Oryctolagus cuniculus: one gene and its partner. The protein of the gene in region 2 purifies or fractionates together with the protein of the main gene of each other region. This does not show direct contact. Links are inferred from orthologs where the notes say so. Each region holds a gene or a part of one and is shown on either strand. Other genes may lie near its edges.

Evidence for each region.
Region 1: the proteins of DLAT (region 2) and PDHA1 fractionate together in Homo sapiens (co-fractionation; 3 studies listed by BioGRID). This does not show direct contact. The link is inferred for Oryctolagus cuniculus from reciprocal best matches to the Homo sapiens genes DLAT and PDHA1.

The regions. Positions count from the first base shown.
Region 1 is NC_091453.1:5,384,245-5,388,058, reverse strand, and holds part of PDHA1 (pyruvate dehydrogenase E1 component subunit alpha, somatic form, mitochondrial), read right to left. Parts: intron 2,567-3,814; coding exon 2,507-2,566; intron 1,955-2,506; coding exon 1,781-1,954; intron 1,246-1,780; coding exon 1,119-1,245; intron 172-1,118; coding exon 80-171; intron 1-79. UniProt on the Homo sapiens protein: The pyruvate dehydrogenase complex catalyzes the overall conversion of pyruvate to acetyl-CoA and CO(2), and thereby links the glycolytic pathway to the tricarboxylic cycle.
Region 2 is NC_091432.1:103,981,995-103,985,808, forward strand, and holds part of DLAT (dihydrolipoyllysine-residue acetyltransferase component of pyruvate dehydrogenase complex, mitochondrial), read left to right. Parts: intron 1-967; coding exon 968-1,155; intron 1,156-3,428; coding exon 3,429-3,582; intron 3,583-3,814.

The DNA of each region.
Region 1 (3,814 bases), on a different chromosome or scaffold from region 2:
GTAGGGTATGAAGCAACGAATATTTAAAAGCAAACCAACCCCCAAAGTACAGAAAGCCTCAAGGGAATTGTTCCTCTACCTGAGCGCCGACGATGCCATTGCCCCCGTAGAAGTTCTTGGCATACATGTGCATCGATCCTCCTTTCCCCTTCGCACAACCTCCTCTTCGCCCTGCAATCACAGTACGCACCTGCATGAAGCAAGCCACACCCCAAGTTCTCACTCCGAGTCCCAATCGTTAGAACTCAGACACCAATTCAGCTATCTGGGTACCTGTCTCTCTTGGCAAATGTGTTCCCCCTTGTCTCCATAGCCTTTATTTTTAAAATCTTTTTTTTAAAGATTTGTTTATTTGAAAGAGTTAGAAGGAGAGGTAGAGAGAGAGAGGTCTTCCATCCGCTGGTTCACTTCCCAACTGGCTGCAACAGCTGGAGCTGCGCCAGTCCAAAGCCAGGAGCTTCTTCCATGTCTCCTACATGGGTGCAGGGGCCCAAGGACTTGGGCCATGTTCTATTGCTTTCCCGGGCCACAGCAGAGAGCTGGATCGGAAGTGGAGCAGCCGGGACTCAAACCAGCGCCCATACGGGATGCCGGCACTGCAGGCGGTGGCGGCTTTACCTGCTACGCCACAGCGCCGGCCCCTCTCCATATCCATTAGAAGGAAGCTCTCCATCTTTCCTGATCTCTAATCACTTAACCACCTTTCCATGCTAGTCTGGTGTCCTGGACTTTTTTTCAGGGTGACAAGCATCTACTGACTTCTGCACTGGTAAACTTAACAATTCAAGAGTTGTGAGGGACAAAGAGGGAGTGTTGGGAAGATGCCGAGACTACACTGCACATCACGCTGGGTTCAAGCCCATTGTTGCTAGATATCTGCTGGCATGCTTGAGTGACTACACGTGTTCTGCCGTCACAGCACTAACCTCTGGAACTTTTCCCCGAGAAGCTGAAGGACTTCCCAGAACGGTCAGTGCACTCCAAGGCACAACAGAGGTACCAGAGTAGCACCTGAGAAAGGAGTGTTTCTAAACTCGCTCCTAACAGCTAGCATCTTAAGGGCAGACGTTTGAACACTGAACCCGCTCCCGTCCCCTTTCTGTGAATCGAGAGCAAACCTGTGAGCTCTGCGAGAATCTCGCGGACAGAAAGGCCCCGAGTGAAGGTAAAGCCGTGAGCCCGATAGGCTGTGATGAGGTGGTCCGTGGGATTTATGCCGGCCTCCAGGCCCACACAGCAAGCTTCCTGCGTTAAAGGAGGAAAAGAACGTGAGGCTCTGATTCTGGATAAAGAGGTTTCCCAGACTGATATGAAACATGTATGCTAGAACTTGGCATTGATACCACAAAGTGGCTATTTTTCATCCAACACCACAGTGGCATGGAAGGCTCAACAAGCAGCTGTAAACTGGCAGCCAGACGTGCAATTTCCTTTAGCCTGCACAGCGATTTAAAAAAAAAACAACAACCTGGAAGTGATGTCGACATGCACCTGATTTTGTAACCCTTGGCCTAAACCTACCAAAACAAAACCAAATAACCCTTTCAAAAGTGAGTACAATACAGGAATTGAAATGTCCGAAAATTTTAAAACAGTAAAATTCTAAGAACAGGTACAGGAAATTAGCAATGTTATAAATGAATAAAAGGTGTTGGCATTCTAATTTTATTCTAAAAATATGAACCTCAGGTACTTAACACATACGACAAGGTAACATCAACAAACGAGAATCATACTTACCTACCTAAATGAGACAGTTTTAGTACAAACCTACACTCACCTGACCATCACACAAGTGACAGAAACCACGAATAATCTTCTGCTTATACAGCTGATCTGCCTTTAACTCCATTCGGCGCACAGTCTGCATCATCCTGTAATACTTGAGCCCATCCTCCCTGGTGAGCACTGTCGTGACAGGAGGGCCCTCTTCCAGCCGGTGAAGGTCACATTTCTGAAACAGAGTTAAGGCAGGCAGTCATCCTCGGGTTACCACGTAGCTAACGCTGCTGACTCATTCTGAGACCTCACTCCATCGCTAGTGCTATCAAACGCGGGAGACCGCCAAGGAGCGCATCAGAAATGCTTCCTTACTGCTCCTGATTCCTTCGCTCTGTACGCCTCTCTGTGCAAGGGGATGGATAGGGCTTCAGGGGGAGGGAAGTTGTTCTTAGTAGACTTTCACTGAAAACCCCTAGAAGTCAACTGAGCTATGGGGTGAAGCTTTCAAAGGAACATTTAGGAATGTTCATGTTCAAGTGTTTCACTCTAAACTTTGGAGTAAGTTTTTCTTCCTTTTAACCCCCCCCCCCCCGGCCTCACCCATATCAGCAACATGCCAAGAATAACAAACTCTTAACTTTTGGTAAACAACTCTAACTTATGAAACATCTGGTAGAAAATGAAGAGTATCAAAAGGTCTATTCTAAATATAAAAGTTATAAAAACTGGACATCAGTGTGTACCTTTTGAAAAATTCTGAACACAACGTAAAAGCACCTCTCACCTTAATTTCGAAGGTAGCATCATTTGCAAAATTACGGGATGCCACCAGCACTCTGCTTGCCTTGAAAGAAAGAAAACACACAAACACATCATTATGTTTTGTCAGCCATCTTGGATAGTCAGAATTACTACTCAGTGATGATGTACTCATGGAACTTTAATAAACCCCAGCATATTCATGGGCTTCTCTCTCTTCCATTCTGTTCACGATGTTGGTCATCTTCCTCACCTTCCAAAATGAAGCCACACTCTGGCCAATAAAGCACAATCCCACCGCTATCTGAAGGCAGAAAGAAAGGTGGCAAAAACCAAACCTGTTCACTTTACCACTTTGTTTTCCAAGAATTCATGAGACAGGCTGGTGTTGTGGCACATGAGATTAAGTGTCTGCTTGCAACACTGGCATCCCACATAGGAATGTGGTGTGAGTCCCAGCTACTCTGTTTCCAATCCAGCTTCCCCGTAATGTGCCTGGGAAAGCAGAAGATGGCCCAAGTACTTGGCCCCTGCCAACCACTGGATGGAGTTCCTGGTCCAGTCCCGGCTGTTATGGGCATCTGGGGGAGTGAACCAGCAAATGGAAGATTCAAATAAATATGTGTGTTTTAAAAAGAAATTATGAGAACATAATGAAATTAATGGCTATACTGAAGAGCCTAGATAATCTGAGATGTATGCTTTTTTTTTGGGGGGGGGACAGGCAGAGTGGACAGTGAGAGAGAAAGGTCTTCCTTTGCCGTTGATTCACCCTCCAATGGCCGCCACGGCCAGCGTGCTGTGGCCGGCGCACCGTGCTGATCCAATGGCAGGAGCCAGGTACTTATCCTGGGGGTGCAGGGCCCAAGCACCTGGGCCATCCTCCACTGCACTCCCTGGCCACAGCAGAGAGCTGGCCTGGAAGAGGGGCAACCGGGACAGAATCCGGCGCCCCGACTGGGACTAGAACCCGCCTGGGACTAGAACCCGGGGTGCCAGTGCCGCTAGGCGGAGGATTAGCCTATTGAGCCGCGGCGCCGGCTGATTTATGCTATTCTTAAATCATAACTGGATACTGTTCATTTGAACAAGCTAAGAGTTTACTCTATCATACTTCAACTTAAACTATGATTTAATCCCTATTGCAGAGCCTAGTGGGTTAAGCTGCTGCTTGGGAGCCTGCATCACACATCCAGGTGCCAGGGTTCCATTCCCAGGTCTGCTTTCGATTCCAGCTTCCTAACATACCCCTGGGAGCAAGCAGCGGGTGACAGCTCCTGTGGCTGGGATTCTTCCCACCCATACCAGAGACCTCAACTGAGTTCCCGACTCC
Region 2 (3,814 bases):
TGGAGTCCTTGGCTTCTGACTTCAGCCTGGCTCAGACCTGGCTTTCATAGCCATTTGGGGAGTGAGCCAGTGGGTGGAAGATTTTTCCCTCCCACTCTCTGTGCTCTTTCAAATACATACATACATATATAAGTCTTTAAAAAAAATCACGGAAAAATGTGAATTAAGAAACATTCATATGGAATTAAATTTTTTTAAAGATTTATTTATTCATTTGAAAATCAGAGTTACAGAGATAGAGGAAGAGAGAGAGAGAGCACTCTTTCATCCTCTGGTTTGCTCCCCAGATAGCTGTAATGGCCAGGGATGGGCCAGACTGAAGCCAGGAGCCAGGAGATTCATTCAGGTCTCCCACGTGGGTAGCAGGGCCCCAAACACTTGGGTCATCTGCTGCTGCTTTTCCCAAGCTATTAGCCTGGAGCAGCTAGGACATAAACTGGCACCCGTATGGGATGCTGGGGTCTCAGGCAGTGGCTTTATTTACCTTTTATGCCACAATGCCTGCCCCAAAAAGTTTTGCAAAATTTGTTTTTGAAATTTTAATTTTATTTCCCACAAACTTTTTTGAAGTCCCCACATACATGTCAGCAGTAATGTAACCTTTTCAACCCAAGGTTCTTTGAATATGAGGATCCAGACCTTTGGCTATAAAGGGTCAAATGTACTATTATCCTCATTGTAAAAGTCAAGAAAGTGAGATAGAGGGGCCAGCCTTGAGGCATAGTGGGTAAAGCAGCAGGTGGAAGGTCTCTTTGTCTGTCTCCCTCCTTCTCTCTCTGTAATTCTGACTTTCAAAATAAATAAATAAATCTTTTTTTTTAAAAAAGGAAACAGAGACACAGAGGTTAGATAGCATGCAAAAAGGTACTACAGCCAGGAGAAAAGCCTTTAGCTTAAAACTGTGCTGTGAGTCTGGAGGGGTAGTGGGTTCTTTTAAGTGCCATAATGTTTCCCCTCTCTGTTTCAGGTTTTGAAGTGCAGGAAGAAGGCTATCTGGCAAAAATCCTGATCCCTGAAGGCACGAGAGATGTCCCTCTAGGAACACCACTCTGTATCATTGTAGAAAAAGAAGCAGATATATCGGCATTTGCTGACTATAGGCCGACTGAAGTGGCTGATTTAAAACCGCAAGCACCACCACCTGTCCCACCCCCGGTAGGCATACTCCTGGAATTAGGTGATGCCCTGCATTCCTTTCAACGCCAAGATCCTGTGAATGAGGGAGACAGTTCATTGACATTTGTGGCTGTCTCTAGAGGGTGTGTCATGCTGCACTGTTAACCTCAGGGTGGATAGTTTTTTTCTTTTACTTTTCTTTCTTTCTTTTTTTTTTTTTTTTTTTGACAGACAGAGTGGACAGTGAGAGAGAGAGACAGAGGGAAAGGTCTTCCTTTGCCATTGGTTCATCCTCCAATGGCCGCCACGGCCGGCGCACCGTGCTGATCCGAAGGCAGGAGCCAGATGCTTCTCCTGGTCTCCCATGGGGTGCAGGGCCCAAGCACCTGGGCCATCCTCCACTGCACTCCCGGGCCATAGCAGAGAGTTGGCCTGGAAGAGGGGCAACCGGGACAGAATCCGGCACCCCGACCGGGACTAGAACCCGGTGTGCCGGCGCCGCAAGGCGGAGGATTAGCCTAGTGAGCCGCGGCGCCGGCCAGTTTTTTTCTTATAGCTCTTTTCTGCCTGCTATCTTGAGTCCTGCTGAGAGCAAATGTGAGGTGACATGATCTCTTTCTGCTTTAGGTGTAGATATGCTTCTGGAAGGTAAGGTTTCATTTGGCATTTTCTGTTTAATTTACCAGATAATCTGTCACTTTCATTCCTGTTGGTATTTACATATTATAGAGGAACAAGCATATCTTTGTAATACATTGACAGAATATGACTTGTTTAGCATAGAATTTAGTATGCCACTATATGTGTCGTAGCATACACTGTTGATCTATAACATGAACTTGTGTTAACTGCAAGCCAAATAACATGTATGATGACAATTCTAGATGCTAGAGTTATGCGACTTTAGATGAGGTACACATTTCTGTCAGAGAAAACCTGATTCCTAATTGCTGGGTGTTTATGAGGAGCTGGCAAGTGGCAATGTTGATTTAAGATACTTTGGGCCGGTGCCGCGGCTCACTAGGCTAATCCTCCACCTTGCGGCGCCGGCACACCGGGTTCTGTCCCGGTTGCCCCCCTTCCAGGCCAGCTCTCTGCTGTGGCCAGGGAGTGCAGTGGAGGATGGCCCAAATGCTTGTGCCCTGCACCCCATGGGAGACCAGGAGAAGCACCTGGCTCCTGCCATCAGATCAGCGCGGTGCACCGGCCGCATTGCGCCGGCCGTGGGGCCATTGGACGGTGAACCAATGGCAAAGGAAGACCTTTCCCTCTGTCTCTCTCTCACTGTCCACTCTGCCTGTCAAAAACAAGAAAAAAAAAGAAAAAAAAAAAGATACTTTGAACATGGAACCTTCCATCATTTTATATTTTGAAATTAGGTAAGGTAAAAACAAAAACCGTGTTGGAAGTACAGAAGAATGGGAATAAAGAAGTGATATGAGATTAAAATGAAAAAAGGTTGTAGGGATATTATATATTGGTTAGAAGTATTATATTCCACTCATAGACAGGGTGGGAAATGTCCAGCTTGTTATCAGTATAAGGCCCATGAAATTATCTTGTCTGGCCCTGCAAAGGCAACTGTAGGTGGAACTCAAAATTCAATTAATCTAAGCCGGCGCCACGGCTCACTAGGCTAATCCTCCGCCTAGCGGCGCCGGCACACTGGGTTCCAGTCCCGGTTAGGGCGCCGGATTCTGTCCCGGTTGCCCCTCTTCCAGGCCAGCTCTCTGCTGTGGCCAGGGAGTGCAGTAGAGGATGGCCCAGGTGCTTGGGCCCTGCACCCCATGGGAGACCAGGAAAAGCACCTGGCTCCTGGCTCCCGCCATCGGATCAGCGCGGTGCGCCGGCCGCAGCGCGCCGGCCGCGGCGGCCATTGGAGGGTGAACCAACGGCAAAGGAAGACCTTTCTCTGTCTCTCTCTCTCACTGTCCACTCTGCCTGTCAAAAAAATAAAAAAAATAAAAAAAAAAAAAATTCAATTAATCTATAGTAGGCTCATTTTAAAGTTGATTTTTTATTTTTTGTAGTATTTTTTAATTTTGTAGTATCCAAATGACCCTTGTCAGAAAAAAAATTTCCCTATCCTTACAGAGTAAGATAACTTTATTCTGTCCTGGACATAAAGAATTGTCCTTGCCATTCATTTTGCTATATTGTGTTGGTTAAAAGTTAAAAAAAAATTCATTCTGATCTTTTAAAAAAGATGAACATTGCTTAATTAAGTTTTAATTTCTTTATAAAATGGAAACCGAATCTTTCAGGCCGGTCTCTGTGGTGATGAATCAATAATTTGTAGCTTTTTTCGAAAGGTGGCCACAGCTGCTCCAACTCCTCAGCCTTCTGCCCCTACACCTTCAGCCGCCTTGCCAGCTGCTCCTGCTGGACCAAAAGGACGGGTGTTTGTCAGCCCTCTGGCAAAGAAGCTGGCAGCAGAGAAAGGCATTGATCTTACACAAGTAAAAGGTAAGTCTGTTTCTACGGAGAGTGAAAAGTCAGTTGAATTTCCTCCTTAAGACCAGTGAGTTCAACTGTATGTAATTGTCTTAACTGGGACAGTAGGGAGAGGGTGACAGAGGGAAATGTCTCTAGGAAATATCTTCTCCCATAGGAGTAGGGAAATTGTTATTGTGCTTTATTTAGTCTGCCACTACAATTTAGATTCTTTTCATTCTCTGCTCATGGGAACTCTTAACTG